Linked DNA regions of Cricetulus griseus. The protein of the gene in region 2 interacts with the protein of the main gene of each other region in a pairwise test. Links are inferred from orthologs where the notes say so. Each region holds a gene or a part of one and is shown on either strand. Other genes may lie near its edges. The genes, in order: Nbr1 and Syt4.

What was found.
Region 1: the proteins of Syt4 (region 2) and Nbr1 interact in binary tests that used the Homo sapiens proteins (3 or more experiments, as listed by UniProt). The two-hybrid records come from large-scale screens. The link is inferred for Cricetulus griseus from reciprocal best matches to the Homo sapiens genes SYT4 and NBR1.

What each region holds. Positions count from the first base shown.
Region 1 is NC_048600.1:114,591,810-114,609,172, reverse strand, and holds the start of Nbr1 (next to BRCA1 gene 1 protein), read right to left. Parts: upstream 15,426-17,363; 5' UTR 15,022-15,425; intron 14,820-15,021; exon of another isoform or gene 14,668-14,819; intron 11,235-14,667; 5' UTR 11,169-11,234; intron 10,676-11,168; 5' UTR 10,662-10,675; coding exon 10,560-10,661; intron 6,187-10,559; coding exon 6,124-6,186; intron 5,400-6,123; coding exon 5,381-5,399; intron 2,864-5,380; coding exon 2,841-2,863; intron 879-2,840; coding exon 684-878; intron 1-683. UniProt on the Homo sapiens protein: Ubiquitin-binding autophagy adapter that participates in different processes including host defense or intracellular homeostasis.
Region 2 is NC_048595.1:205,844,640-205,860,242, reverse strand, and holds Syt4 (synaptotagmin-4), read right to left. Parts: upstream 12,506-15,603; coding exon 12,472-12,505; intron 9,475-12,471; coding exon 8,660-9,474; intron 7,178-8,659; coding exon 7,057-7,177; intron 5,813-7,056; coding exon 5,505-5,812; downstream 1-5,504. UniProt on the Homo sapiens protein: Synaptotagmin family member which does not bind Ca(2+). Involved in neuronal dense core vesicles (DCVs) mobility through its interaction with KIF1A.

The DNA.
Region 1 (17,363 bases), on a different chromosome or scaffold from region 2:
TGTGTGCGTGTGTATGCAGTGTACATGCATGTGGGGGCTGGAGGACAACCTTGGGTGTTATTCCTCAGGCACTGTTCACTCCCACCCCCCTACCCCCCACCCCCCGGTTTTCTTTTTAAGGCAGTCACTCACTGGCTTAGAAACAGCCAACTAGGTTGGCCGACCTGTAAACCATAAAGGATCTTCCTGTGTCTGCCTCTTTGGTGCTGATATCACACATATGTACCACACCTGGCTCTTCAATGTGAATACAGGCACTTCCACTTTGTGAGAGAGGGTCTCTCTTTTTTTGGTCACCACTGCACATGCCAAGCTAGCTGGCCTGTGCGCTTTTAGAGATCCTCTTGTCTCTGCCTTCCATCTTGCCATAGGAGCACTGGATTACAGATGCATCAGGGTTACGGACATAACGCTATGCCTGGCTTTATGTAAATTTGGGAGATTTGAATTCATGTATTCATGCCTGCACACCACCTCTTTACCTAATAAGTCATCTTTCCAACTCCCTTTAAAAAAGGTTTTAAACAAACAAACAAACAAACAACATAGATTCTGGGGATCAAACTCAGGTTCTTGTGCTACCTCCCCAGCCTCCTGGCCCAAATCTTTGATGACTGTCCAAATGGTATAGGGACAATGAGATGTAAGGCTGAGTTGGACAGATAGGGCCATGCTCTTCATACCTGTGCTGCAGGCTCCTCTGTGGTCTTCATATCTGATCCTAGGACTCTCACCAGTGAAGAATGTGCAAGAGGCTTCTTCCCTGTCCTGGCAGCCACTTGTTTTTCTACTACAGTTGGGGGGAATGTTTCATCTACCACATGGCACCCTTCATGGACTTGCATCTGTAGTTGGTTTCCTTGCTTAATGTTAGCCATCTGGAAACATGTTACAAGAGCATGTTAAAAAATAAAAAATACACCGTGATTCTCTTTTTCCAAATGAAATGTCAAAGCATGGACATATAGAAGCATAGTAAAATATGCTATGACTTTTGTTTGCATTTCTTATTTATTTATTTATTTAATCCCAAGTGCTGGGATTAAAGGCATGAGCCACCAACGCCCAGCTGCATTTCTTTTTTAAAATGTATTTATTATATATACAGCATTATGTCTGCATGTATGACTACACACCATAAGAGGGCACCAGATCTCATTAAGGATGGTTGTGAGCCACCATTTGGCTGCTGGGAATTGAACTGAGGACCTCTGGGAGAGCAGTCAGTGCTCTTGACCTCTGCATCTCTCTAGACCCTTGTTTGCATTTCTAAAAGAACAGGTCAAGCACCTAAACTTTTGAGGTAATGACATGATGCCACAAATGGAAAATTAGCACCTGGCATTTTATGATTAGCAGTAATCAAAATATTCTATACTAAGACTACTATAGAAAATTACCTTCAGACTATGTAAAGAATGAGACAAATTTCAAATTTAGTCTTAGGACCCATTCCTAAGATATCTCATTATGAATGTACAAATATCCAAAAGTAAAAAAAAAAAAAAATTAAAATAGACACACATCAAGTTCCAAGAACTTTGGATAGTGTCAACCTCCATGTTATCATCTAGCCTGCTGTCAAGAATATTAACTATAAATAGCTTTATTGTGTTAAGGTTTGAGGAAATTTCTTTCTTTTCTTTTTTCGAGAGACAGGGTTTCTCTGTATTGCTTTGGAGGTTGTCCTGGAATTCTATCCGTAGACCAGGCTGGCCTCGAACTCAGAGAGACCCACCTGCCTCTGCCTGGGATTAATGCCATGAGCCACCAATGCCTTGCTGAGGAAATTTCTAGGTTCGATTTTTCCATTAACTAGGTTCTCCTTTCATTTTTTTGGTTTGTCTGTTTTGGAGATGGGGGTCTGTCTGGGGTTGCCCTCCTGGCCTCCAGCTCAAAGTCCTCCTGCTTTACCTCCTAGGTACCACAATTACAGGTGCGTACTACCATGCCCGGCTTTTAACTGGTTGTTCTATATTAACTCTAATCTCAACTTTCTAAAAAACAAAAATCAATTCCAGACTAACACTAATCACGGAAACTTAAAGCTATTCCTGATAGCTAAGCATTTACTTTTCACTAACCTCGTATTTTACAAAGCAAGCTTAAGTAGTTGTATCTTTGTGAAGAGCATCTTCCTAATAATATATTTTGGAAATTCTGTCAAGAAGTAGTTTGGCTTCGATGAGGGAACTTAAGTGTTTAAGAAAAATTAGGGATCAAATGGCTAGGTTTCTAGCCCCACCCCCCTTTCATAGCTGTTTTCCTATACAATAGACTTAAGATTCCATTTAAAATAACACTCCATGTGTAACTATGTCAACTGATGGATGAACTAGCTCATTAAGTTCATTGTCCTAATTAGGATGCGATATAGAACACTTCCCTAGCATGCACGAGGTCCTGAGTTAGATCTGTGCACAGCAATATTTTGGTTTCTTCTGTTGCTCAACTTATCCCTAAACTAGGCTCAAACAAGCCTCCTGCCATTTCTTTTTGTTTCTGAGACACAGTTTTACCACATAGCCAAGGCTGGCCTCAAACTCACTGAATAGCCTTAGTGGTCTTTGAACTCAATGGTGCAGGTGCCTTGGCCTCCCGAGTGCTGGCATTAGAGGTATAGCTCCACACCCAGGGCTTCTTTTGAAATGGTGAGATGGTGGCACCAAGACCAGCAATGAGAGGACAACAACTTGAACTCTATTAGGAACTGCCTGCTGCTGAGTCACATGACCACTTCCACAGCAGTCTCCCTAACAAAACAGATGACTTTCCAGTGGAGATTAGGGTTCGATAAATATTTTTAAAATTACTTGAAAATAAAATGAAGTAAACATTACCTTAAGTGCTTCTTCATATTCTTCTAAAAGGACCAAAAAAAAAAAAGAAAGAAAAACAATAGTGACTTATTTTTACCAGTCCTAAAGATTCCATTGCCTATTATCAATTCTACAGTTTTTTGTTTTTTTTTTTTGGGGGGGGTGAGGGTGGGGAGTGGGGACCCAGCTATGTAGCCCAGGCTGGATTCAAACTTTTTTTTTTTTGGGGGGGGGAGGAGTTCGAGGCAGGATTTCTCTGTGGCTTTGGAGGCTGTCCTGGAACTAGCTCCGTAGACCAGGCTGGCCTTGAACTCACAAAGATCTGCCTGCCTCTGCCTCCTGAGTGCTGGGATTAAAGGCGTGCGTCACCACTGCTTGGCTTTGGCTTTAAACAATCCTTTGTGTGTTGTGATTACAGAAGGGCAACATAACACTTAGCTAGTACTTTAGTTCTACAACATGAAGAATACAGTTAACAATAATGTACTGTATTTAAGAATTTTGCTATAGATTTCAGCTACTCTCAACCCTGAAGTGGCAGGCAGGGTGTGGGGGTAGCAACTGTGAGATGACACTTTTTAATTTCTTTCATTGAACTAACATGTTTTTAAAGCTATTGATATGTATTTCATATCAATGTTATACATCTTAAAAATATAGTTTATTTATTTATTTATTTATTTATTTATTTATTTATTTGTTTTTTTGGTTTTTCGAGACAGGGTTTCTCTGTGGCTTTGGAGGCTGTCCTGGAACTAGCTCTTGTAGACCAGGCTGGTCTCGAACTCACAGAGATCCGCCTGCCTCTGCCTCCGGAGTGCTGGGAAAAAATAGTTTATTTTTAAAAAGTAAACCCAATCCTACTCAAATTCTTATAATTCTTACATATGGATAGTCACTACCTTTTTGCTAGACAAACTCCCTTATTGTTGTACGGTGCTTTTCCCTCTGGTTGTAACATTCTTGGTCTCTCCCCACATAGTTATGACAACCAGAGCACAATACAGTGGCAGCCAGAACTCTTGCAATGGAGCTATTGGTACTCTACGAAGGTGTCCAGAGACCCTTGCCTGAGATTCCAACTCCTTTCCCCAGCTGTAAATGGTCTTGAGAGATGCCAGCCTATTTAGAAAAGTGAAAGGATGGCTAAAAACAGGACTCCACGATGCAGTGAGATTGCAAAATATGAAGGGGTGGGACTTAGAAGTGATGTAGTTGTTGTTGGGTGGGGGGTTGGGAGGGTGGGGGTTGCCCACACTCCTATACATAATTCTGCTCTACAAGAAGGCCCAACAAACTCACTGGTTTCACCAAGCTGGACTTTGGTGAGATTGTGTTTTGATCTGTTATTGGTGCCTACCTGGTAGGGCTGGACATTGATTTATGTCTCTCCAGGAAAAGTGAAAGTAACAATTTACCCACTGCACACAGAAGCTATTACAAAGCAAGTTCCTCTTAGTCCCTCTGTGCTGCTCTAGCCTTCTCAATACAAGAATCAACCCAGCTCCTCTAACCAGGCTTTATGAAGTACAAGATTCAGTGGGGTTCCAGACTGTGTTAAGACTATCATGCTACCTGATTCAAATAAGGCTTTAGGGACTAAACTATGGACCATAACCAACCATCTGATGAACATGGGAACATAGTTTGCTTATGCATTGAAATTCACGTATGTGCCAGGTCAGAACAAATGCAACGCTAGCAGAATGAATTATATGTGGTGAACAAGATGTATATTATTTTCAGAGGATTAGCATCTTAAAATATAAAGTTGGATAACACCCGTCCTTATGGTCCATGCAAATGTATTATCTTCTATTTTTTTTTTAAGTTACACAATAAAAATCCCTTATGAGGCTGGGTATGTAGTTGAACTGGTTGAGTGCTTGCCTAGCCTGCACCAAGCCCTGAATTCGATTCCTAGTACTGCATAAAGTGGGGGTAGAGGCATAAACTGTAATCTCAATATTCAGGAGGTAGATGCAGGAGAATTGTATGTTTTCTTTTTAGATAATTTTTATTTCTATTTTTATGTACACTGGTGTTTTGCCGGCATGTTTTTTGTTTATGGGTGTTGGACTCCTTGGAACAGGAGTTATAGTCAGTCGTGAGCCGCCACGTGGGTGCTAGGAATACAACCCAGGTCCTCTGGAAGAACAGCCAGCACTCTTAACCACTGAGCCCTCTCTCCAGCCCCGACAATCTTATGTTTAAGGTCATCCTAGGCTACACACCGAGTTTGAAGCCAGCCAGGGCTACCTCCTGAGACTGCCTCAAAAAGAAAAAAAAGAAAAAAAGAAAAATCTATGAAACTAATGCCCATGGTACAGTGTCAATTTACAGCACACCAAATTCTATTCTAAAAATGAATGCTTGAGCAAAACATAGTTGAAATGGAAACACCTCAATGAGCAGATAAATTTTATTCACTATGTAGCCCAGATTGCCCTTAAACCTGAAATCCTCCTGCCTCAGCCTCCTCAGTACTGGACGTGCAGACAGATTTTACCATGTCAGGCAAATGTGAAGTATAGCTGACTATATTTTTCTCAGGAACTCACCTTGACTATTGATGGATACCTATGAAGAGAAAAAGGAAATGGTGAATGCTAAGTCTCATCACCTGAGCATTTATGTTAACTAGGGCCAGTCTCATGGCCAAGTCCCAGCTCAGGTGTTTAGCATTTCCACTACTATTTAAATAATGTGCTGTTTTATCTTAGGGACAGTAACAGGCAGGACAGTGTAGGGCTAGGAGCCTGGGATCTGAAGCCCCTACTTCATTACTTTTAAGTCTTTGGGTAAGATCTCTCATCTCTCAGGGCCTCTTGCTTCCTCATGATGAAAAGAAGATACCCGATACAGCACTGCTAGTCTGATGCATTAACCACTTAGCAAAGAGCTCCTATTAGCATAACCATCATAAACTAAATGATAGCCTTGTTACAGTTTTAGCTTCTCTCTCTGATATTCTCCATGTTGCTTTCCCATGTCTCAGCTCCATCTCAGATGCCATAATGGTCATGAATGAAGTACAGGATTATCAAGTATATTTAAACCATTAGGCGAATGAGATAACATTATTCTGAACCTCTTTCCTTTATGGCTCTCTAAGACAATCTAATGTTCTAAAGCCCAGGTTGGCCTTAAGCTTCCTAGGATCCTCAAGCTTCAGTCTCCCAAGTACTGGAAATACAGGTGTGAGCCATTACAATGGACTTTATATTCTGAACTTTTGAAACTCTATCACTCTGGAAAAGATCCCTATTCTAAATATTTAGAAGGGGGCACACAGTTACTTTACCTCCTCATTTTCCTCATCCAGGTATTTTATTTGAATAGTATTCAGATCAAATGAAACTTTTACCTGCAAATGAAACAAATGGATCAGTGTATCTCAGTATATAAAATTAAATATTTTAACTTTGTTCTTTTTTAGTCCCCCCCTCTTTTTTTCCCTTTTTGGGCAGGGGGTGGTTTAGTGTGGATCTTTCCAAGACTATGTAGCCCTTACAGCTCTTACAGCCTGCAGGTATCAGCCCACGCAACTCAGAGTGAGGCAGAATTTCTTGAACCCAGAGCTCACCAATTAGGCTAGCCTAGTTAAACAATTTGCTTCTGCTTCCAGGATATGCTATGTAGGCTGGCTTAAGTACCATGTTACAGACAGGGCATAACACCCACCTGACATTTATATAGGTGCTGGGAAACCAAGAGCTGGTGCTCATATCTACATGGCAAGGGCTTAACCCTTGGAGTCCACTCCCTGGCCCCTTATTTTTATTTTTTGTGATGCTAGGGTTTCAATGCAGGGCTTTGTGAATGCATGAGAAGTACATTCCCAGCAAAACATCTGTTTTTTTTTTTAAGATTTTATTTATTTATTATGTATACAACATTCTGCTTCCATGTATATCTGCATACCAGAAGAGGGCACCAGATCTCATAATGGATGGTTGTGAGCCACCATGTGGTTGCTGGGAATTGAACTCAGGACCTCTGGAAGAGCAGTCAGAGCTCTTAACCTCTGAGCCATCTCTCCAGCCCCAAAACACCTGTTTTTTGAGACAGCGTTTCTCTATATTGTTTTGGAGGCTGTTTTGGAACTCACTCTGTAGACCAGGCTGGCCTCAAAACTCAAGAGATCCGCCTGCCTCTGCCTCCCGAGTGCTGGGATCAAAGGTGTGTGCCACCAACGCCTAGCTCAGCAAAATATCTTAATACAGTTTTAAAAAGCAACTCAGAGGTTGTGGTTAGCAGTTAAGAGCACTGGCTGCTCTTCCAGAGGACCTGGGTTCAATTCCCAGCACCTACATGGCAGCTTACAACTGTATGTAACTCCCTCACACAGACACACACGCAGGCAAAACACCAATGTACATAAAGAGTAAATAAAGAAACAACTACTACAAACTCAAAGAAAACAGACAGAGAAAATATCTGCAAGTGGTAACAGATAAGGGAGTAATAACTGCAAACACAGAAAAGATCATCAAAACTGACAGGAAGATTGATACTCCAATAGTCCAGTGGTAGGACACATCTTTAAGTTTCTACTCCCAACACTTGGGAGACAGAGCCAAGCAGATTTCTGTGTCTTTGAAGCCAGATTGGTCTACATAGTTCCAGAACAGCCAGAGATACACAGAGAAACTTAAAAACAAGACCAAAAAAAGATTAATACAAGTGACAATGTGCAGAAAATTTACAGAAGAGGAAACAGGAATGCCCAATACATAAAAACATTCAACTTCACTGCTACACAGTGTAAATAGACAAGCCAGCAGGTTCAGATGGTAAACTTTTTCTTATGTCAAAACATTCAGGGCAAGGGACATAGCTAAGTGGCAGAGTGCTTGTCTAGCATGTAGAAGGCCCCATGTTTGATCCCCAGCACTACATACAAAGCAAAACTCAAGGCATCCAATCATTTTTTTTCTGTGTACTGTCATAATTCTGTAAAATATTTGGCAGTTATCCATTAAAATTTTTTTGTTGGTGTGTGTGTGTGTGTGTGTGTGTGTGTGATGCTTTTTTAGTTTTTCGGCTTTTTGAGGGGCCCACCACCCAGCTCCCAAATAAATTACACATGGAGGCCTATTCTTAGTTATGAAAGCCCAGTCTTAGCTTGGCTTGTTTCTTGCCAGCTTTTCTTAAATTATCCCATCTACCTTTTGCCTTTGGGCTTTTCCTTTTCAATTCTTGTATACCTGTCTTTGTTTCTTATCCTAAGCTTGCTGTGTAGCTGGGAGACTGGCTCCCAGAGTCCTCCTCCTTCTCTGGCTACTTCTTTGTGTTTCCTTCTATTTATACTCTCTGAGCCCAGTCCCGCCTATCCTTGCTCCTGCCTTGCTATTGGCCATTCAGCTCTTTATTAAACCATCAGGTGTTTTAGACAAAGACTCACAGATTCACAGAGTTAAACAAATGTAGCATAAACAAAAGTCACACACCTGAAAATAATATTCCCTAACTTTTCTTTTTCCAGACAGGATTTCTCTATGTAACAACTCTGGCTGTCTTGAAACTCGCTATGTAAACCAGCCTGGCTTGAATTCACATAGATCCATCTGCTTCTGTCTAACTGAGTGCTGGGATTAAAGGTGTGTCCCACAACTGCCCAGCCCACTAATGTTTTTAATTTTATTTTATGCACATGGGTGTTTTGCCTTCGTGTAAATCTGGGTACCAGGTGTGTGCCTGGTGCCTGCAGAGGCCAGGAGAGGGCATCGGATGTTCTAGAACTGCAGTTAGAGATAGTTGTGAGCTGCCATCTGGCTGCTAGACTGGGTCCTCTGGAAGAGCAGCCAGTACTCTTAAACACCTGGCCATCTCCCTAGGCATTATCTATCAAAACTTAAAGTCAGGAGGCAGAGGCAAGTGGATCTCTGTGAGTTTGAGACCAGCCTGGTCTACAAGAGCTAGTTCCAGGACAGCCTCCAAAGCCACAGAGAAACAAACAAAACAAAACAAAACAAAACAAAGGGGAGGGAAAGGGACCTGGGATTGACATGTAAAATAATTTTCTTTCTAATTAAAAGAAAAAAAAGTGACACAGGATTAGTGATCACTGGAACATTTTATTAACTGTAGGATTTATTTCTACTTTTCTCTTCAATGAGCATTCAAGGTACCTCTGAAAACACCTTAGCCATGATCTCTATCTATGAAATGGATTTTAGGTCAAATCCCATTCTAATAAACAACTGTTACATTTTTACATTGACTTATGCTTCTTAAGTAGTATTTTAAATAAAAGAGCATTGTCACTGTGACAACAACAACAACAACAAAAAAAACCAAAACAAAACCCCCCAAAACCCTTAAAAGTCAGGGTTAATGATATGGCTTACACAGTAAAGTATTTGTTGTATACAATATACAAAAGCCTGACAACCTGAACTCACATAAAAGTACCTATAGAACAATACATAAGTTATCCATATAGAGAGATGCAGGTCCTGTCTATTTTATAATGTGCAAACAAAGAAAACCCTGGTGGGGCAACCAGTAACAGTTACATCCACAGTGTTCAGCAACACTAGCAACACAGTGGACTCATAGGGTAAGAAGATGAGCTTTGCTTTGTGTCTGCCGATTAAAAACTATGGCTACAATATACTGTTGGGCAAGAAAAACAACCTGCAGAACAGTGTTTCCTATGACCCTAGCACGATACCTGCATGAACATGGAACATGGAAATGTGGGGAAGTACTCAGTTACCTCCCGTTATCTAAAGGAGGTATGGATAGCAGATACAGGATAGAAGTTTGTGGACAGACATTATCTCCTTACATGTTAAGATTGTTTCATGCCTTATAATGGGCGTGTATTACACTTTTATAACTTAAACTTTTACAATAAAAGACAAACGTAAGCTGTCAACACACCCCGCTACTAGGGAAAGAAAGGTAACTGGTGTTCAGATCACTTTCAAAGATCCCACTGCTTTCCCAATAACCATCTGCCTAGCAAAGGATAGAGCGGAATCTGGGGAATGCAGGGGACTAGAATGTAACACACTGGAAGGTCCCTCTAACATCTCCTTCCTTTTTAAGCTACCCACACAGATAATCAGGTCAAGACATGTTTGTAACCAAATGGTTACATTAAACACAGGTGCCCAAATAGTAAAACATTGACCAAGGCAAACCAATGAAAGCAGAAAAGTACAAAGGGCAAGCCAAATGAGAGAAACTATGAGCAAAAACACCCATGGGGTTTTGTTGTGCTTTTTGCCAATGTTGAGATAGCCAACCTTTGACCCAGCAATAAAGCAACTGGCAGGTCTTGCAAAATACTAGTCCTATCCTTGGCAGTTAACAAACAGCAGCGATGCATCTACTCTCCAGCCAGACAACATTCCCCTACAGCCTGGCTAGGGTGGAGGACACACTAACTTATCCCTCAGACTATTTCTAAAGTATGTTTCTAAATTCTATTTCACTTAATAATTTTACTTGAGTTTGATACCTGGGACTTATACAGTAGAAAGAGAGAACCAACTCCTGAAATTTCCCCTGTAATTTTAAAATGTTTAAAGGAACAAAGCTGTTTCTTCTCTTTATCTTGGTACAAGTCTTATACAAATACTGAACCCTTGTCAAAAACTATTTTTCAAAATATCCAGAAATGGTAATGATGACAAACTTAACAGTTATGAAATGAACTGCTAAAAATAGGTACATTTTAAAAGACTGTGTTTTAACCCCTGGAAAACAGAACAAAGTGATACTCACCATAGCTTCAACATCAGCCCAAGTTGTATTTTCTGGATCCGAAACCAGAAAGCTTTGAGTTTCATTTTTAAAAGTCACGTTTAGGGTAACCTGTGGTTCCATGCTGTGATGTGGGGCTGAGAAAATGAATGGTTGAAAAAAGAGGAAGGGATTAAAAACCCACAGACACACATTAGGTTTAATATATGTTAGATTTGGGAGATCATAGTGAATAAGAGAAACAATGTCCCTATTGTTACATGATTTACTATCTATTAGTGTGTTATACATCAAATCTCACTGTTACATAAGGATTTCTCTTTCTCAGAAATAAAGACACTATGCCATAAAGATGTGTGCTTATGCTACAGAGTTAAACTTATTTAGAACTTACACATTAGAAATAAAAGTCAAGGGCTGGAGAGATGGCTCAGTGGTTAAGAGCTCAATGGTTAAGAATGCTCTTCCAAAGGACTTGGGTTCAATTTCCAGCACCCGCATGGCAGCTCACAACTGTTTGTAATTCTACTAGGGGACCCTACACTCATGGCAAAGCACCAATGCACATAAAATAAGATTAAAAAAAAAAAAGGAAAGAAAGAAAGAAAAAAAATGCACATTGTCACACACCTGTAGTCTCAGTTACTCAAGAAGTTGAAGCAGGATGGTAGTTGGAGTCCAAGAGTCTAGGCCAGTCTAGAAAACAAGGAAACCCTGTCTTTAAAAGAGGTGTAGAGCAGGGAGGGAAGATAAAAGTCTCATGATAAAAATGTAATAAAAATCCACATTTGTGCTGGGTGTTGATGGCGCATGCCTTTAATCTCAGCACTCGGGAGGCAGAGGCAGGCAGATCTGTGTGAGTTCAAGGCCAGCCTAGTCTACAAGAGCTAGTTCCAGAACAGACTCTAAAGCCACAGAGAAACCCTGTCTTGAAAACAAACAATCCACATTTTGGACATATCTACAGACACTCCCCTACCTTAAGTCTATAAGGTTTTCTCTGCATTTTCCAGTGTTTGGTTGTTATCTGTAGCACAAGCCAACAAGATAGAGAACAGAGACAAGGTGTCTGCACTCTGGGAGCAGCAACAGAAGCAGTTTTAGGTAGTCAGTTCAAGAACAGTCTGGGCTACAATGAGCACTTGTCTACAGAAAACAAGCAAGCAAACAAACAAAAACACCAATGCCCCCCAAAACCCAAACCCCAAACAACAACAACAACAAACTTCTATTACTTGTGGAAAAAGCTATACAAAATTAAAGAATGTAACACAAGGAGTCCTCATGGACCTATCAGCTTCCACAATTAGCAACTAGGAGCTAATTTTGTTAGTCAGTATTCCTTCCTTTCTAGTGTAAGAGAGAGAGGGAGAGAGGGAGAGAGAGAGAGAGTGTGTGTGTGTGTGTGTGTGTGTGTTGAGCAGATGACAAAGGGGCTTGGAAGCTAGGAAGGTACTCTACCACCATGCAACAACCTTGCTCTATGTCTCTCTTGACAAAATATTCACCCTTTCTTCCATAAATACTTATAAAATGAGAAAAATGAAAAAACCCATCATGATCATGCCTAAGATGCTGGCAATTTTTTAATCAAATGCCTATTGTTAAAATCCATTTGATTTTAGCCGGGCAGTGGTGGCACACATCTGTAATACCAGTGCTTGGGAGGCAGAGGCAGGCATGATCTCTGTGAGTTCGAAGCCAGCCTGGTGTACAATGCCAGTTCCAGGACAGCCAAGGCTGTTACACAGAGAAACCCTGTCTTGAAACACCCCCACCCCAAAAAAAACAACCTATTTGATTTAAGGAAAGACTTTGCTTACTGGTTAACTGTGACTTTAGGAAAAAAATAGTGTAAGTTGTTTAAAGCTACAAGCAATAGACACTGGCAAAAAAATGTCACCTCTTAAAATATTCATCTCATTTTCAATCTGCATGTAGAAAGAGCCATATTCGGGTCAACAAACAAGAAATGAACTTGAGTCCTAGATGTTTCCAATGTCAAAGAAGGGAGCCAATAGGGTGCAAACACTTGGGTCCCAGATACAGCTCCACCACAAGATTGGCTGTGCAACTGTGAGCAAGACTGTTTATCTTTGAGCTTCACTCATTTAATATGTAAAACAAAGACTATTCTGCTGACAGTAACAATGTTATCAAAGGGATCTAATAAAACCTTGGTCTAGGGACAGGGAGTAAGGAACCAGTCCACATATGTGCAAAGATAAGGGGCCATTTCCAGTACCACAAAGTATGTAGGATTCTTTCAAATAGTATTCAAATATGAAAATTATTACCATAAGAAACAATTCCTTAGGTCCTTAAGATAGCTTCTACCTTGCTATTATAACTTTGTTTTGGGTGGAGAGAGACAGGGTTTCACTCTGTAGCCCATGCTGGCCTGGGGATTGCTATGTATGTAGACCAGAGAATTGTCCGCATCTGCCTCCAGAGTTCAGCACTGTGGATACAACTGTACAACTGTCATTTTAAGAACCTTGTACTTTTTTTTTTTTTTTTTTTTTTGGTTTTTCAAGACAGGGTTTCTCTGTGGCTTTGGAGACTGTCTTGGAACTAGCTCTTGTACACCAGGCTGGCCTCAAACTCACAGATCTGCCTGCCTCTGACTCCCAAGTGCTGGGATTAAAGGCATGTGTCACTGCCACCCAAGAACCTAGTATTCTTAATCACAGATTATTTTAGAGACTCAATTATCCAATTTTTTCCATGACTTGTCTTCATCTAGAGTTAAGTTCACTGTCAAAGCTATAGTCTCTAGCATCAATCCTGTGGACATCCTGCATTCATACATTTACCCAAAATGCAATTCTTCCTTAGGATCTTTAAAATTTAGGCAGAATCCCACCAACCCTAGGTTTTTGTTTGTTTGTTTGTTTGTTTGTTTTTGTTTGTTTTTAATAAGGAAAATGAAGTGACTGAGTTTGCCAAAAGAAAAAATTCTGAGGTTGGGCTGGAGAGATGACTCAGTGGTTAAGAACGCTGACTGCTCTTCCAGAGGACCCGGGTTCAATTCCTAGCATCCACATGGCTTCTCATAACTGTGACTCCAGTTCCAAACACCAATGCACACAAAATAAAGATAATTAAAAAAGAAAAAATTCCCAAATACACTCGCACTTTCCAACTTCAAGAAATACACTTCCACACAGTTCTGTCTGGAAGGAAACTAATCTTCCCTGTTCTCAAATGACAGGAGTGGGAATTAGTTTCCATACTTTGGAGTTCATCCAGCTGCTCTGTCAATGTGAGAAAACAGGAAGCGAGAGTCTAGTTTATCTAGCCAATATTCAGGTCTTCATAAAGGCCGGACCTCACTGTGACTTACGTGTGAAAATTCTTTCAGGCAGAACATTAATGTTGAACTTGTGAAAATATCAAAGGTACAGTTAACCCCACATATTACCTATTGTTTTGCAGCCAGCGGTCAGGTGGCCGGGCCTAAGCCTGCAGCTTTCCTAAGTGGCACTGTAAACGCATGCCTCATTGACTCACACTCATGTGACAAAGTCAGCTTTTCCCCATAGGATGTTTTTCCAACGTCGACAAATAATATTAATATAGGGAATCTCGGAATCTGAACTCTATTGTGTCTACCAGAGGTTTAAAGCCGCCTAAGCTTTAAAATGGGTGATCTGAAAGCTGGGTGCTTGACAAAAAGGGAAAACGATGCCTCTCTAAACACGGAAGGTTCTAGATCAAGATACCTTCAATAGAGTCTCAAAAAGAGGAAAGCTCAGAATGAGGAAGATGTGTGTCCCTTCTTCTCACACACTTAGTCCTAGTCTTCCAGCAATCGTTTCCTGGAACTCCATGTCCCCGGGACAGTGAGTGTCACCACCACCGGAGGCCCCTCTTTTGGTACTGGGGGATTTCGACTTTCTCTTAGCAGAAACTGGCCTTTCTAAGCCATGAAGACTCTCCCTCAAGCAGAATCCACACCCCACTGTCGCTGACAACCCAAGCGGCTCTCTCATCTGGTCCCTGAAAGGACTGGCTGCCCTGAACACGGAAAAAAGTCACTGCTCTTTTCAAGATTCTCCTTGAACTTCCCCGAGACCTCTAAGAACGACGTGACCCCACTCGTAGGTAACAGCGGCGGCCTCCTTACCAGCTTTCCGCCCCCGGGGGGCGCTTGCCCGTGGCCAGTGCAAGGACCGTTCGCTGCCAGCTCGGCTGCTATCCCTGCGGGGTGAATCTAACATGGCGGACAGAGACCGGGCCCAGTCCCATGTTTCTCTGAGTTTCCGACAAAACGATTGGTTCTAACTATTTGTCCCTCAAAACCACCGCTGCACCGATTGGCCAATGCTGCGTCGGCAGGGGCGGGACAGAAGCTGTCTGAACCGCACAACAATAACAAACACCCAGGCCGAGGGGCGGAACTAGTGCGTAGATGTCAGCGGAGCGGATTTCCCGTTCCCGAGCCCATTGGCCGCCCTCTGCTTTCCCTGAGGTCACTGACCTTGGAGAACTAGTTACCCGAGAATCGCGGGGCTGGATGGGAATTGTAGTATTCCTGGGACTTGCAGCTTCTTTCAGTCTAGTCTCTGTGAGCAAGACATGAAAACAGAACGCTGCGATGTACTGCAGCTGACCTGCATAACCGCGAGGAGGTTTCCGCCGTACTAACTAGGTTGTTGTGGTAATCGCGCCAGCTTCCGGTGTTGGAAGCGCCTCTCCCTTAAGACTACAGTTTCCAAGGGACGCGGTGGAGAAGTCCTTTCGTCCCGCAATGCATGCTGGAATTGGTAGTTCTTTTTACATAATCCTTTCTTTACCTAAACTGGAGACTTCCATGGCAGGAAGACTAAGGGAGGGATGAGGACTCTGCAACTGCTTTGTTCACTACCTTGCGCTCATCTTCCGGCCTTGGGTAGCGATCCCGACCCTTTGTACACAATTACTGTGACGTAATAAGCAAGCGTAGATGCGAGGGGGCGGCTGCCTAATAGGAAACTCAAAATTCTTTCTCTTCCGTCTCTTTCTAGTTACGACACACAAGGAGAGACCAGGTGGCCAATCCTGAGCCCGGAAAGAGTGTCCACCTCTTTTTTTTCCTCTCCCTTCCGCTGACGTGTCTGGATCTTGTGTTCCTAGAGGCCGGCGCTAGCCGCCAAGCGGCCGGTTTCCTAGGCGACCGGGAGCGCGGGAATTACAGATAAATTGTCATTGCGGCTGCGCGGCGGGCGCCGGTGCCGCGGCGGGACCTAGTGCTTTCCGAGCGGCTTTCCCGGGATTTGGGCCAAGGGGCTGGGGAGCACGGACGTTTTGCTCGGGGTGAAGGTGAGACAGCTCTGAGGAACCTAGCGGTAGTCGAGTGAAGGGCGGGAAACTGCAGGCGGAGACAGGTGTTTACCAGGTAGGAGAATGCCCGGGGCGGGACCAAACTGAAAGGACTCCTGGGGGGTGCAGCTGTGCGGAAGAAGGCTAGGGAGGAAAGAAGGGGCGTCCTGGCTGTGGTCGTGCCGAGAAGGCAGTGTAAGCATGGTGGCTGAAGGATGAGAGGAAAGGAGGGCGGAAGTGTGGCAGGGAAATCCATGTATATTTCACGCAAAGGAATGCCAATAGTAGTAATGAATGCTGTCGGCAGGGGTACTTGTTCAAAGACTGCCTTGAGGCTAAGTGCCAGAAGGGGGAGGGTGGAGAAGCGTCAGCAGTGTTAGTGTGTTAGTGTTTGCATTTGGTGACTTAAAAAAAAAGTGCGTTTCTTTCCATTTGTTTGTTTTGGTTTTAGTTTTGTTTTTTTTTAATTTATTTATTTATTTATTAGTTCTAGTTAGGGAACAAGCTTGTTTCACATGTAAGTCCCTTCTCCCTCTCCCTCCCCTCACCCCATCCCTCCTCCCCCACCCCCAGCCTACCCCCACCCCATCCACCCACCACTCCCCAGGCAGGGTAGGGCCCTCAACAGGGGCTCTGCAAAGTCCACCAAATCTTCCTGTGCTGGTCCTGGGCCCTTCCCCATGTGTCCAGGGCCAGAGTGTAACCCTTCACGTGGGATGGGCTCTCAAAGTCCCTTCTTGCACCAGGGAAAAATACTAATCCACCACCAGAGGCTCCCTGGAGTGCAGAGGCCTCCTTATTGACATCCATGTTCAGGGGTCTGGATCAGTCTTGTACTGGCCTCCCCGACAGCATCTGGGGTCGATGTGCTCTCCCTTGTTCAGGCCAATTGTTCCTGTGGGTTTCTCCAACCTGGTACAGACCCCTTCCTTCTTCATTCCTCCCTCTCTTCAACTAAATTCCCGATTTCAGCTCAGTGTATATCTGTGGATGTCTGTCTCTGCTTCCATCAGCTGAAGGAACCGGCTTCCCTTTTGGCAGCCATAACAGCCGAACACGTGCTTGCCATAAACCTGCCTTGGTCAATTAGAGGTCAGATGCCTGTCTCGTGACAAGGAACCTTAGTCACTAAAAGGTCAGATGCCTTGTGACAAGGAGCCAATCAGAAGTTACCTGGTGGCACTTTACGACCCTGGGTGTGCTTTACGGACAAGCGCACGACAATGACGTAGAGAGCATAGCAACCACCCTGGGAGGGCCTATGAGCCATAACAACCAGTTGACCAATCAACACAGGGCAAGCCCTCCAAGCCTGGAAGCACACCAATCATGAGCCTGTGCGTAAGCCTGTGCGTACCCCTAGACACTCCCCTTACGCTGCCCTATAAGATCTTTTGGGAGACCCAAGGAGCCGTCTTTTCTAGCCGTCCGCCATGGCGGGTGGGTGAAAGACCCGAGCTAACATGGGGTTAGCTCGTTAAATTACAATAAAGCCTCGTGCAGTTTGCAGCAAGCTCTCGA
Region 2 (15,603 bases):
CCCAGATGCTGTCTGGGAGGCCAGTACAGGACTGATCCAGACCCCTGAACATGGATGTCAATGAGGAGGGCTCTGCACTCTAGGGGGCCCCGATAGTGGATTAGCATTTTTCCCTGGTGTAAGAAGGGACTTTGAGAGCCCATCCCACGTGAAGGGGTGCACTTTTGGCCTGGACACATGGGGAAGGGCCTAGGCCTGGCCCAGGATGATGTGGTGGACTTTAGGGAGCTCCTGTCGAGGACCCTACCCTGCCTGGGAAGCAGAGGGTAGATAGGGTGGGGAGGTAGGTCGAGGGTGGGGGGAAAGAGGTGGGGGGAGGCGAGGGAGAGGGAGAAGGGTTTGGCATGTGAAACAAACTTGTTCCTAATTTGAACTAATAAAAAAAAAGAAAAAAGAAAAAAGAAAGTGCTCAACATCCTTAGCCATCAGGGAAATGCAAATTAAAACAACTCTGAGATGTCATCTTGCTCCTGACAGAATGGCTAAAATCAAAAACACCAAGGACAGTTTATGTTGAAGGGGATGTGAAGAAAGGGGAACACTCTCCACTGCTGGTGGGAGTGCCAACCCATACAGCCACTTTGGAAATCTGTATGCCGGTTCCTCAGGAAAATGGGAGTCTACCACAAGATCCAGCAATTCCACTCTTAAGCATATACCCAAAAGAAGCACATTCACACAATGACATCTGTTCCATGATGTTCATAGCAGCATTATTTGTAATAGCCAGAACCCGGAAGCAACCTAGATGCCCCTCAACTGAAGAATGGATGAAGAAAATGTGGTACTCATCGGAAAAAACAGAATCTTGGAATTCACAAGAATATTGATGGCACTAGAAGAAACTGTCCTGAGTGAGGTAACCCAGTCACAAAAAAGACAAACATGAGCCTTCATCCAGTAGCTGATGGAAGCTGAAGCAGACACCCACAGCTAAACACTGGAACCCAGTTGCATAGAGGGAGGAGTGATGAGCAAAGGGGTCAAGACCAGGCTGGAGAAACACACATAAACAGCTGACATGAACAATGAGTAACTCATGGACCCCAGACTGATAGCTGGAAAACCAGCATAAGACTGATCCAGACCCCTGAACATAGATGTCAATTATGAGGTCTGTTTAATCTATGGGGCCTCTGGTAGTGGATCAGCATTTACCCCTAGTATAAGCATGGACTTTGGATCTCATTCCACATAGAGAGATACTCCCTAAGCATAGACACACTTGGGAGGGTCTAGGCCCTGCTCCAAATGATATGACAGACTTTGAAGATTCCCCCATGGAAGGCCTCAACCTTCCTGGGGAGCAGAAAGGGGATGGGAAAGGGTGTCGGTGGCGGCAGGGGAGGAGGGGAAGGAGAGGGAACTGGGATTGGCATGTAAAAGAAGATTGTTTCTAATTTAAAGAAAAAAAAGAAACAAATGCGAAAAAAACAAAAAAGTCAGTCCTTTATGGCTGCATTCTATTCACAAGAACAATGTACCACATATGAACACCATAGCACACTTTCACATGGGTCAATACTGCCAAAGGTATCTGATTCTCAAGGCTCTTACTGTTATTATTTACCCGGTGGGACTGTTGCACTACCCCAAGTTTTCTTTCCTTCTCGAAAATGAAATATATCTGTACTGTTTTGCTATTCTAATAATAGTGTAGTATAAGGATTCGGGAAAGATTCAAAATAGTACAAAGAAGTTATATAAAATAAGTCAAGAAAACCTGAAATAAGATAAAGAGAACGAAACAAGTAAAAATATATTGGGAACCAAAATGGTTGAGAAAAAAACATCAAAATGTGGGAAAGTAAATAAAAATAGAAAAAAAAAAAAACCTAAATGAGCAGGGGCTCCTTTCAGAATGTAGCAGAATGATGCCCAGCAATAGGGGAGAGGCAGCTTGAAGTGGCCATCTCCTGGGATCAGATTGTGACTACCCCGGTTGTCATCAGAGAGCCTTCACCCAGTAACTGATAGAATCAGATGCAGAGACCCACACCTAAACATTAGGCCAAGCTGAGGGAATCCTGCTGACGAAAGGGGGAAAAAGGATTATAGAAGTCAGAGGGGTCAAGGACACTACACGGAAACCCACAGAATCAACTAACCTGGCTCATAGGAGCTCACAGAGACTGAACCAACAGCCAGGGATCCTGCACGGGACCAACCTATGCCCTCTACATATATGTGATAACTGTGTAGCTTGGTCTACTTGTAGGACTCCTAACAATGGGAACAGAAACTGTCCCTAATGCTTTGGCTGGTTATTGGGAATCTATTCCTCATACTGGATTACCTCACCCAGCCTTATACAAGTGGAGGTGCTTAGTCTTACTTCAACTTGATACCCATGGGAGGCCTTCCCCTTTCTAAACAGAAACAGGAAGAGTGGATGAGGGATGGAGAGGAGGGAGGGGGAGGGAGGGGGAGGGGATGGGAGGAGAGGAGGGAGAGGAAAATGCAGTAAGGATGTAAAACAAATTTTTAAAAAAGAATCTAGCAGAAAGAGCTAGGGATATACAGTGGTAATGAAGTGGCCTATCATGAATAAGAATGTGGATTCAGTATCCCTCACTGCAAAGATAACAATAAAGAATTGTCCATATGAAGACTGTATCTTTGCCTATGGCAGTACACCTCTGAAACCACAGAACTCAGGAGACTGAAGCAAGAAGAGTGTGAGTCTAACATTAACCTGGGCTACCAAGACCGTGTCCTGAGATCTAGAAGAATCTAGTGAAACCAATTGACAAAACTCCTGCCTGTCCCCACCCTTGATGAGAGGGAAATAGGCTGGAGGCAGGAGTGAAGAATGCCAAAAGAAACCTTGAGCTATCTGTGTATGTACCATTGAGTCCAGTACCTATGTTCCCTAAGAACCGGGCTTCACTTTAGGTTAGGCACATCTGCCTGAGATGACTGTCAAAAATTAGGCAAAATTCATAGTTCCAAACATGTAGATCTTGTTGCTCGGCCTCCAGTGCTCCCTAACCTATGTGTGTGGTCTATCAGAAAAAGAGAAACTCAGAAAGCAATAGATAAAACTTACAACAGAGGTTGTTTGGGCAAAAGCAGCGGTTTATTCATGTCTTACAAACATACAGTGCTGGCACAAAAGAACAGACACCATCTTCCTGACACCATGCTTCCCTCCAGATCACTTCTACTGCACTACAACAAGTCAGAACAAGTCAGCTACTGAATCACACAGTTCTTCAGACACGGCAACCTCCCTACCGGGTGGTGAGACTGGCTAAGCAGACAATAAATTAATTTACATGTTTAATACAGTGCAGGAATTGTAGCAGAGTTGGATATTCACATTGATATTGTAATACATTATAAACAGTACAGTTTTCAGAAATGATGGGATCACTTAACTCCCTGCCTGTTTCAACTCTTCTCTCGCTTTTCTTTTCTCTTGCTTTTCTCTTTTGTCCCTTAAAACCAGTTATAAGTAGTTGCAACCAACTTATCACCTTCAAAACACTTTAAATTGTGAAACTAAAAACTATTTACAAACAATTTAATGTGATTTTAAAAGTATCTGTTGTCAGACTTGTTTCCTAGTTTTTTTTAAAAAAAAAAAAAAAACCCTTTTCCAATAAACATCCTATAAATTGGATCACCATAACTTCCTGCCGCTTTGTAGGATATTTGGAAATGATGTCTCATAACATTAGAGCTCCAAGCTATCCTACATTCCATGGCCTATGACATCAAATGTGCAGACATACAAAGGCCTTCTGGCCTCCCCAGATTCCACATGACTGCAGTTCATTCCATGTTGTTTTCATAGACTGCTGAGTAGACAGAGACGGGAGATGACATTGTCACTGGGTGACAATGAGTGTGGGAAAAGCATAAAAGAGGTTGATTTCAATCTTTGTACACACAGAATGAAATACATTTCCTTACAGAAAGTTTGACTTTTGTCATAGTCATAAAAAGCACAGACAAGTGGTTTGGAAATACATTTCCATTGAATTTACAAACACTGTGATAGCAAACACATTCTCAGAAATGGCTAAAGCACTGACACAAAACTTGACTCAAAGGGTAAAATTTCCAGAAGACATTATCTCTAACTTGCATATTTAATAATTCAGCTGGACCTAAGTCACACGCATGACTCTCTAACAGCTCAAAGAGAAAAACATCACCATCGAGTTAAGCCTTCCCAGAGAATGCTAGAGTTCTGCTTGCCTTGAACAAGTTTGGCAAGAATTTCAGAACTTAGCAATTGGGACTGGCACAAGACATGATTCTTTAAACTATCTTAAAAATAACTGCTCAAGACAAATTGGCCTCCAAAGATAGTGCAGAACACAATGTCTGCGCTAATTTTACAGCTTAAGTATATTTTGTGAATATTTGTAAATGCTGATAGGATTATTCTTCTCTTGTCTTAGTCTTTTTACTTGACGTGGTTGATCTCAACCTGACAATGCACAGAATTTAACACATTTTCTTTCAAAGTAACTTAGTTCTTCCTGGAAAAGAATAAGTTAAAGACTTAGGTAGCCATGCCCTCTCTGAGAGGGAAAGACAGCCTTGAAAATACACTTGTACACTGAGAGATTTTTATAAAAAACTGTATTCTTAGCTGAATTTCTAGCTTAAGTTTATTTTTATCCACTAGATAATCTGACAGCTTCACAAAGGTAAATAGGAGTATCTTAGGCCACACTGAGGCTTGTAATGGGCAGTGAATAATTCAAGACCATGGTTCTTATGTGAAGTTACATTTTACATGACTCACTTGTGATCCTAGGGAACAAAAAATCTCATTGCAACCACAGTGTTCTTCAATTCAGCCCTTTAATAAATTAATTTCTCAATGTGTTTGCTGTCTTTGCGAAATGAACCTAAGCTACCCCTTTTATGATGAGATTGTATCAAATAATTACAAACCAAATGGAAATGACAGCATATCATTGATATATAGGACAACCATTTGTACATGACATATCTAACTAGAAAACAGACTTGAGGACATTTCTGAAATATCTTTGGATTTAAATAAAACCTTATCTACCCAACATGAAGGGACATGGGTTAATTTTCTTACAAAAAGGTGTGGTTTTCATTTTGAACTCTTAACAATCACCTGGACTTCCACTACCAAGGCAAAAGTGACATCATCATCTACAACACACACCTACCTGTGACTTGAGATTAAGCTAGAAAGCTCATTACAGGCTTGGTTGGCCCACTTAAGACCACACAAAGGGGAACTGATTATCTAATGAAAATTTAGCCAACACCTGTAATAAAGGAGGAAATTATCAAGATACACATTTACAACTGTTTTCTGGTCTAGTGATTTAATCCACTTCTAACCAAAACAAATAAATAGAGATAGATAGATAGATAGATAGATAGATAGATAGATAGATAGATAGACAGATGAATAAATAAAAGTAGCTTGCTGTGCCACAAGCTTATAATCATGTATAAGAAAGAAAATTGCTTCTTGCCTAATAAAAATCATGGCAGGGAAACTACCCATCACAGAGCATATGCCACTTAGCAATTTGTCTCCTAGGAAAGTCACAGATCTCCTTCCAATGTCCCCCACCGCTTCCTTCTGCTGTTGCACCCAGGACCAACCGCCCAATGACCTCATTTCGGGATCCCCGTTCAGAATCCAAAACTAAAAACTCAACGCTTATTTCTTCAAGACTCTCACAAGGAATATCAAAGACAAACAGTTCATTGAACACTGCATTGGGAGTGCACTTTTTAACGTGAGTCTTCTTTTTAGAGATCCTCTTCTTGGCATGGTACAGGTTCACCTTGACATACGGATCTGCAAAGACATGCCACAAGTGTTAAATTGTCAACAGTTAGCTACAGATCCAACCTAGGAGACAACATTTCAGTACGGTGGAAGTGAGTATCTTCCAACATAAACAAGTATAAATTAATAGGAAGTGTGGATATGGTTGACCTTTCTGTTAATCATAAAATTGAAAATGATGGAGACTAAAAACCAGTTCCAGATCTGATGTTAGGGAAGGAACCGTAATAGCAGAAGGACTAAACAAAGGGGGAAGAAAAAGGGGTGCTGCATACTGCCTCCTAGCAACGAATACCAGAAAGTGAGATGAAGGCAGTGTCTGGGATTGCTGATTTTATGCTCTTGGGGAGTCTGGCTCCTGGTGGCTGCCACTGTTGTTGAACAGAGATTTGGAAACCATACTGGTCATGCCCTGCATTTTAGCTTTTCTGCAGGTGGTTAGCCAGTTGCAGAATTTGCTTTCAGTTTACCAGAGTTGATCACTCCTGTGACATTCTTACTAAATGGGTTTAGAATCATGTAACTTCATCACATATTATATTATTTTTGATTGCAGTATATATGTTATTTATCTTCATGATCTCAAGTTTTCAGAACTTGTCTTCAATTTCTACAATCAAATAATGATAATACCACTTGATGATTCTTTATTAAAATATGTATTTCTAGCTTTCAAAATGCCCTTCAAGTATTACTGTGCCCAATTTCTATAATGTTTAAGAAATATGAAGAGGATACTATACTAAGAAATGGAAGGGTGAAAATTTTAATTAAGATGTCTTTAACCTGTAACTTAGCTTATTTTCTTTCTAATATTCTACAACAAACATTTTGATTTTTCAGTTATTCAAAACTAAAATTTAATTCTTAAAGCATATATATGTCATTAAAAGAAACAAATAAGCTCACCAAAGAGTGAATGAGTAAGTCATTTGAAACGCGAAAGTTCAAAACTCTCTTTCTGAGCAATGTTAAGCTCTGTCTTTTCCTCTTCATATGTCATTGCTTTCTGCTTTAAGCCATTCACTTAAATGTTCCCTCCTCACTAACGCTGTCTTACAGGCATATGAATTTCCCTGTACTGTTGGCAGAATTGACTCAAATTTTTCCCACAAAGCAAGGAAACAAAAATCGACAATCCCAGTACTCATGATTGAGAATGTCAGAACAATAGTCCAGTGTTAGTCCACAATGTTTGTGAAACATAGTAGCCAGTTATAGACAGAACTCCGGGGTTTCAGAGGCATTCTCACCTGAAAGTCCAGACACATCAGACTTCGGTAGGTGCCGTGCTTTTAAGACAACCACAGTGAGCGTGTTTGTAGTGGACTGATAGCAGAGAGAGACCAGAAGCTCTCCCCGTCCGGAAGACTTCTAAACAAAGACAATACAGTAGACACAGTTTTCGTTTGGGGCTTTTGTACTCTTGTCACAAAACATACAGTACCATAATAGCTTTGTTATTTCAATGTCATGTTCCTATTTATTTTTATTTAAGCAAGCTAAGGAATCTGAGAAAACGCTTTTGTGCAGTCCTATAATGACTAAAACCATTGCCTGCCATCTTGTGGTTGTTTTAGGTACTACATAGTGCTAAAATTTGCCAGGATTTGACCACACCCAGTACTTACACATGTTTTGAAGGATGTTTATACTATATTCCCAAGATTTTTTACTTTGACTTCTGCTATTTAAGGATATCTTTAACCTTTTAAGTTATTAACAGTAATAGAATACATAATACTGTCCATTGATACGTGTAGGATCACATGGCTGATATTTTATCTTAGTTTAAATTCTGACATTATTGACATTTGAATTCAAGCAAAAGAAAACGTATTCTTCATCCAACCACTATTCTGGACCAGAATCATAATGGAGTTAGAATTCTTGTCCTACATAGTCAAAGTCTTTTCTCAATCTAAGGAGAATATAATTGAATTTAAGTATCGGAGAGAATTGGCTCAAGTTTTAGAACTTGTTTTTGAACAGTAACATGGATTCCTTCACTGCAAGCTACTTATATTTAATTTTATATTAAAGACATTAGCTAAAACAACTAAGAATGCAAAGTGCAAGCTTTAACTAAAACTAACAAAACAGTAACATGGAGCTGGCTTATATTTAAGAACAGCTAAAGAAAAATGTATCAAAAAAAGAATATATAGCTATATTCCTATAACTGGGGAAGACCACCTAAAACTAAGCAGCTCTACCAAAAGGAACAACAAAGAGTGAAAAGCAACCAAGGAGCTCTTTGAACCTAATGGGCCCCAATTGATGTCATATCATTTTCTAATCATCCAAGAATTGTCCAAGTAGTACAAGTAGGAAGGCAGGGTAATTCACTTCCTTTATGTAGCAGGAAAATGGACATTCATAAATGGGCATAACAGGATTTCCCCTTGTTCAAAAGCAATTTCATTCAAATTCCACATTGCATTCAAACTCCACATCCTGAGAAGGGATTACTTTAATTTTTTACTTCACTTTTAAATTCTGCTACTTTGGCCCTGAAACACTTTTGATAACCTATGTTAAGAGACATATCCATGAATTTTAAAGTAGCAGTCTTTTTCAAGATACTTTAATAGGAAGTTTAAATGCCTTTTACATAAATGATGTATAAATATCATAAAGTATGGCCTTTTACTTTATATCATTAAGATTCTTGAGCATTTCAGTTGTGTATTAAATTCCCATTTGCCTTCTCTGTTCTCTTGCTCTCTGTTTGCTGTCACCTACAGTAATTAAGGATAATGTGTACCAACTCATCATTTGAATGAAAACAACATGTATTTTTTTACACCTACACTAAAGATTCCTTATAAATATTTTAAATGCTTAAAGAATTACCTTAGCATTTCTCTTGATGATCTCTCTATTCATTAACATTTTTCCATCTGATAATTCAATCCCTGAAAGAGGGATCAGGACTTCTCCAATGATATCATCTCTCGAAAACCTGTCAAAACTCAAAACTGTGAAATGCAAGGACAACTCTTGGATGTGGGGATAAGGAATTCCGTAGAATGTAAAGGTTTCATCAAAAACTGGGTCCAGTGTCTTCCTCAGCACTCTGGTTTTCACTTTATGCTTCTTCTCCGGTAAGATCATCATTTTGATGTATGGATCAGAGGTCATAGATTGCTCATCCATGGCTGGTAAGCCCTGGGCTTCCTTGATGTTGACCACAAATGCTTTCTTCTCAAAGTTGTACTCTAGAGACAAGAAGAGTGTCCCCAGCTTCTCTTGCTTCTCTTCTGAAGTGAGGGAAGTACTGGACTTCAAGCTCTCAGGGGAAGTAGCCTCCTTTTCTCTCTCTGTAAAGAGCTTTGGGGTCACATTCTCTAGATCAGAAGGGCTGCCAGCTTTAAGGTTGGTTTTGGGGAAATTGCCATTGAGGTCTCGCTTCTCCAGATCAAGATGCAATGAAATTTTTGGCACAGCTGGTTTATTCTTAGCTTCATTTTTGTCATCTCCTCCAAACTTCTTTTTGCTACTTAGGTTTTCAGGGTAGATATCAACTCCTTTGAGCACATGCACAAACTTGTATGGGGGAGTCTTGTTGGACTTAGATGACCTTCTCTGGCAGCAGATCCAAGCAAAGAGAGAGACGGTAAAGACGAGGCCAAATGCACTGACGATCCCCACAACTGTGGGAATTTCATCTGAAAAACCAAATGACCAATGACACACATTAAATCATCAGAATAGAAATGGGAGACTGCAGGAAGATCATAATAAAGCTCTTGCTGTAAGAGAGGAATATTGAATTACTTCCCCACAGTTCTGGGAGTGAGTAATCGTAATGTTTCCCACTAACGTGAGGGTTACACATAGACCTATGTGACACACAGGAAATATGATTTAAAACTCCTTACTTCCATAGATTTTCATAAATAAATGAAAGTGTATCTGGAACAAACATGGGGTCATGTTTAATATTCTCACTTATTTATCTTAATAAAACAAAGTTTTATTTGATCATGAGTCAACTACAATAATATGAGGAAGTACCATTTTCATTATTTTTCATTAACATTTTGAAGCTTTCCAAAAGCATCAATCTACTAATTATGAATACATATATACATTTGTATACATAATAACCAGCAAATATTGAGAAACTCACTAAAAGGACATTTATACATCTGTATTACAACTCATATTAAAAGTATAGTTTACCATATCTCTATTCTATTTTAATACATCTCTAATAAAACTCATATTAAAATGATATCTTAATATAACTCTATTCACCCAATATTCAAGAAGAAAAAGAAACACTTAAATACAGTAATCTATACAACTAAAAATTATGGGAAAAACAGCACCCTGGCCATTTGTTATTGTTACAAATCCATTAAACTTTTATTCCAACTGTGGGGTTGATAAAGAGGCAAACATTTATTAATAAGGAGAAAAAAGAGTAAAAGAAAAACAATAGTTTGATAATAGTTTATAATTATAACATTATAATCCCTTTGCAATTCTGAACTTAAAATTCTTCAAGCCCTGAATTATCCAAAGCACAAAGTATTCCATGTGAGTTAAAAGAGAATAATGGCCATTAAATCCATAATTATTGCCAAAATGTGAGTGAAAAGTGAATATAGACAGTTTAGAGTTCAATTCTGCCCTAGTCTATTTCTATATGGCAAAAGGAGATAAAATTGATAATGGCATTGTTTTCTTAACTTCAAGCACATTAAATCATTGTCATCAAGTGACATGCCAACAGTGATTGTGCATGAAGCATGTATCATTTCATGTGTAAGCAGATTCTTGTAACATTTATTTGGTAACTGTGCTGCCACATCTCACAGTGAAGCAGTGCTTCACTGTGTAAATCTTTGCATAAAGTGAGTATAGCACATTGTGCACATTTAGCTCTATTCTATCCATGTTTTATTTCAAATAGTGAATACTAAACATAAAAGTCCAAGCCCCAAAAGGGTTAACACTGTCTAAGACCAAGAAGACGATTCTTTTTTATGTCTCTTCTTCATCTCCTGAATATTCCGTCCATCTACTTCATAATCATAAAAATGAACTCAAAAGAAATCAAATGGAAAAACAGTAACAGAAATATGTGAGGTTAAAAAATAAAGCAGCAATAAAAAATTCTATAACTTAATTGTGTGACCAAATTGAATAGTGTAAAAAAAATGAAGTAAATATGAGAGTCTCCTAAACAGAAAAAAGTAAATGTGAATACTATAGAAGAAGAAGAAGAAGAAGAAGAAGAAGAAGAAGAAGAAGAAGAAGAGGAGGAGGAGGAGGAGGAGGAGGAGGAGGAGGAGGAGGAGGAGGAGTGGAGGAGGAGGAGGAGGAGGAGTGGAGGAGGAGGAGGAGGAGGAGGAGGAAGAAGAAGAGTTAATCAGCTAAACAGTATCAGCTTCTTCCCTTCTATTCAAATCTCTGTGTGCCCCACATATACACACACAATCTAATAACTCAGGGCAAGGCAGCAAAAGCAAACTCAGGAACTAAGAAATGCTTCGGCCAATACAAGAAGAACAATAAAAGCCAGTGAAATCAATATTTTCTAAGTAGACAGACAACTGGGGATGAACACATGTTCACAAGGATAGTCTCTGAAGATGCCTCACTATGAGAAAATTTCTGGTTTCAAATCAAGAACTGGGTGTATCATACACACATATACAACCAACGATGAAAGGCTGATAAAATCATTTATGCATATTTTATTATCTCTAACATTCAAAACATCCAAGAAAACATGGGCTCAGAGTCTGCTAATGCAACTACTGATACTGTAGCTTTTGAGAGCAGAGATTATGCCATACCACTCTGAGTAATCATAATTGTGATACATCTAGAGATACTATTCAAATATTTCTCCATCCTTTAATTAAAAAATACTTATAGGTAAAAAAAAAAAAAAACCCTGGTCTTTTCCCAATAGAATATAACTGAACCTAGACTTGTTAATTGCTTTTCTAAAAGTCACATCTAGTTTATTTACTGAAGCAGACAAGGAGACCATAGAGACAAAATTTTGGAATACGAACAGGAAAAGCCATTCAGAAAGCAGGATCCTAATCCAAGTTTTGAGCAGCTTTTACTTAACTGTACAGCACTGGACTCCAGAAAGCTCAGCCAGAGACATGAAACAGGCCAAAGACAGTTTGATTTCAAACTCCCCAGAACTATGCTATCACAGAATTCTGTCTATCATTAGAAACATACTTCAGGGATACAAGAACACCTAGCAGAGAAAATTATGACAGTGTAATAAAATACTCATCTCAAATCATCAACATACAAGTTATTTTATGTCATACGGAACTCTTATGTAACCAAAAGAGTATGTGGCTTTCCTTAAAAGATTTACACACAAATAGGAATCATCCAGAAAATAAATGAAGCAGCGTTCTAACAACAGATGTCCTTGTCCTTCCTCAGCTCTGGCTTACAGAGCTGAGTGAACATTCGGGAACTTCTGGAAGGTGAAATCACAGAAGGCGATGCTAAGGAGAAAGCTACCGAGAAAAGGAAGTAAGCCACAATTAACCATCTGCCGTTCCCGTCTTCCTTTCAAATTAGCTACTTGAAAATATACATATTCAACATCCAGTGGCGAGCAAAGCACAGCACAGCCCCGAGCCCAGCCACAGCCCCAAGTTCAGCAACTTGCTCACCGAATTCCACGCGGCTGGTAGTGATAGGAGCCATGTTTTCTGCGTGCTCTGTCCGAGGTGCTGAAGAACTCCAGGCAGATTCACCTGGGAAGACCCTGGAACAAGGCTCTCCGGGGAACAGCCGATCCGGGGACCGCACCTGCAGCGGGAGGGGCTGGAGGAAGGTCTGCGCTTTCTAGCAGCAGTGTGCAACCCTGCCCTGTTCCTGTTTTGGCTCTTCTGAAAAGCTTGTCTCCGAGACTCCAGACGTGGCAGAAACCCGAATTGACGCAATCCTGACGCTACAGGGCTGAAATCAGCACCTGCCCTCCCCCTCCTCCCTTCAGCCGCTCCTCCTCGCCCTCCTTCTGGCACCCTCCCCTCCTCTCTTGAGAATTCAGCTCACACTCACCAATTATTTTAACTGTTGGGCTACTAGATATTAACTATGCTGTTCTGTTAGGCTCAGAGACACGCGAAGATGCCTCCTGAAACGTATCCTTGACATTCTTAATCCAAAATCCTCCTGATCATATACAGACATTAAAATAAATGTGCCCTAGTTATCAGAATATCATAACTTATAAAGGAAATAAAGAGTAAGGAGAGGAAAGCGTCCATATCAAATGCCTACTGTAAGATGTATCCTTATTCCCTGAAATATTCTGTGAAGTATTGAAGGCAAGTCACATTTGAGAGAAATACACTGCAAATTGATGTATTAAAAATATCCACGTTCCCTTTACAATTCCCCATATTTACACAATTTATAGTCTAAATATTTGGTTGGTGTTCCTGCTGTTTTCTGGTCTGTCAGCTATTTTCCTTTTAGTATCTGACATTTGACCTAGTTAAGATTCTTGGAAACAGTTGGAATTACTTCTGACTGTGTTAAATTTATTCTCAGATATGACTTTTAATATTTGGACACTTCTGATATGGTCATATTTACAGCCAAAGTCCCTATCTTCTAAGTAGGTTTCTGCAAACAAATTACAAGAATTGGACCAAATTCTGAAATAATATTACCAGTTACTTTCAAAGGAATGCTATTCTTTGGAATGAAGATCTGGAAAAAATATGCTGTCATATTTGATTAATTTGACTCTTAAGAGTATTACTCTCTAAAACAAACACTGAGCAGATTTGTAAAGAAGAAATATACAGCTATGACTTGCATCTATTACTTAATGTTTCACAGATATGTACAATGTCTTTTGCTCTGAAATTCAATAAAATGAAATTCAGTATTGCTGTGCTAAAGGAAGATGAGGCATGAGATGTCTCAGAAAACTACTGTACATAAGACGGGTGTCTGCACACTGGCAAACAGCTGCCTGAGCGTCAGCAATGTGTCTGGGGAGACATTGGTTTCAGCCCTCTGCATCATGGAAAATTTTCTAAGCCAAAACCTCTTTTCTTTCCCTTTCTACCAGCTCCCACACACTTGGCACTGTAGCATTCTTTGAATAACTGGTTTTTTAAACCTTACATACTCGTAATATGAAAACACAGAAACTAAGTTCTGCTGTAATTTTCCCATGGCAGTGTCTGTGGTAGTGTCCTAACTAATCTGATCATTGGCAGTTCCTCCCTTCTCAGCCCTATGCATTCACCAGTGGAATTGCTCCATTAGACGAAAGTGGCATTTATTTGTGATGCATTTCAAAGTAATCTGATTATGTGATGTAAATTGCATTAAAGTATATGTTTCCCATCTAAGTTATTGTAACATATGGCTAAGCTCATTTGCTATAAACAGAAGTATATTCTGTGTATGTTATATAAAAATTAGTACCTCATTAACTATGCCTTCAGATGGTAAAATGGTGTATAAAACCTGTCTAGATTTTATAAACAGTATTTCTCCAAAACCCAACCCATTGTGTGCTGCCTTGTTTCAGAGAGCTCAGTGAGATAAAATGACCACTTGCCCAGAGCTGATGGTATTGTAACTATTTCATTGCTTGCTTCAAGAGAAAACTGAAAATAAATGTCCATCAAAATCTGAAGTTTCTTTTTCATTTGATAAATACCACTTCAGCATTTATACAATCTCCAGATAAGCTTCAAGCAACATCAGATAAAGAGTAGAATCCATGAGAAAAACCTGTAAGTTTCTTATGATTAAGAATTATGCCCTACCACATTATTGCATTGTTCTTTCAGATCTAGAAAACTAGTAATCAATTTACTGACATGCCCAAGCTGATTCTTGCAGCACAGACAAGGGAGGAGGGGTTGTTGCTAGGTAACCACCCTTTTACCACCCAAAACACACAACCTCAAACAATTCCAGTCCTGGGAAGCAGAAGGTTCTGTCCCAGCGACAGTGTTTACTTCAGTTACTTGCACTGCAAATGCCTTCACATACTATGCTCTGAGAAACAATTACCAAAACCCTTGAATTCAACTCAGTATTTTAAAAATTCAGGTAAATTTAATTGATAACTCATTGATTTTTATTCTGTTTTATTTATTCAGTTAATTTTATTTAATTTAGTATGGAATCTGATTGGTAAAGTCCATAGTTTATTATATATACTTTATGATTTTAGCATTCCCTATCACAAAAATGATATTTGTTGATATACTAATATAATTGTGTTAATCACAGGAAAACTTTAAAAGTGTGTGAAATGTTAAACTGCTTCTCAGTGAGTTTTGGTAATACAAATGTATTTTCCTGGAATTTGGAGTGGACTGGATATCTGGTTGTAGAAAATGAATTATTACATCAATGTTCCAAGTCGCTGTATTAAGAATTCTGGCTGTCACACAAATGGGAAGGTTTTATATTACAAACATACCTAACTCTATTCATCCATTTTTACTACCAAAGTGTCTTTATGATTTCCTGTTGGAGTTTCAAACAGTCAAGTTTTACTTTAAGGTCTTTGATCCATTTTAAATTGACTTTTGTACAAGGTAAATAAGTCGAGATTCTAGTTTTGTTTTTATACATATAAATGAACAGCATTGTCACTTGTTGAAGAGGTTTTCTTTTCTCCAATGTATATTCTTTTTTAGCAACTGTATTGGAACAAACGTCTAATAGTTGAGTAGATGTGTATCTGTTCTATTCTATTGGATTTTGTGCCACAGAGTGCTTGTTACTATAACTCCATAATATAATTTGAGATCAACTGTTGT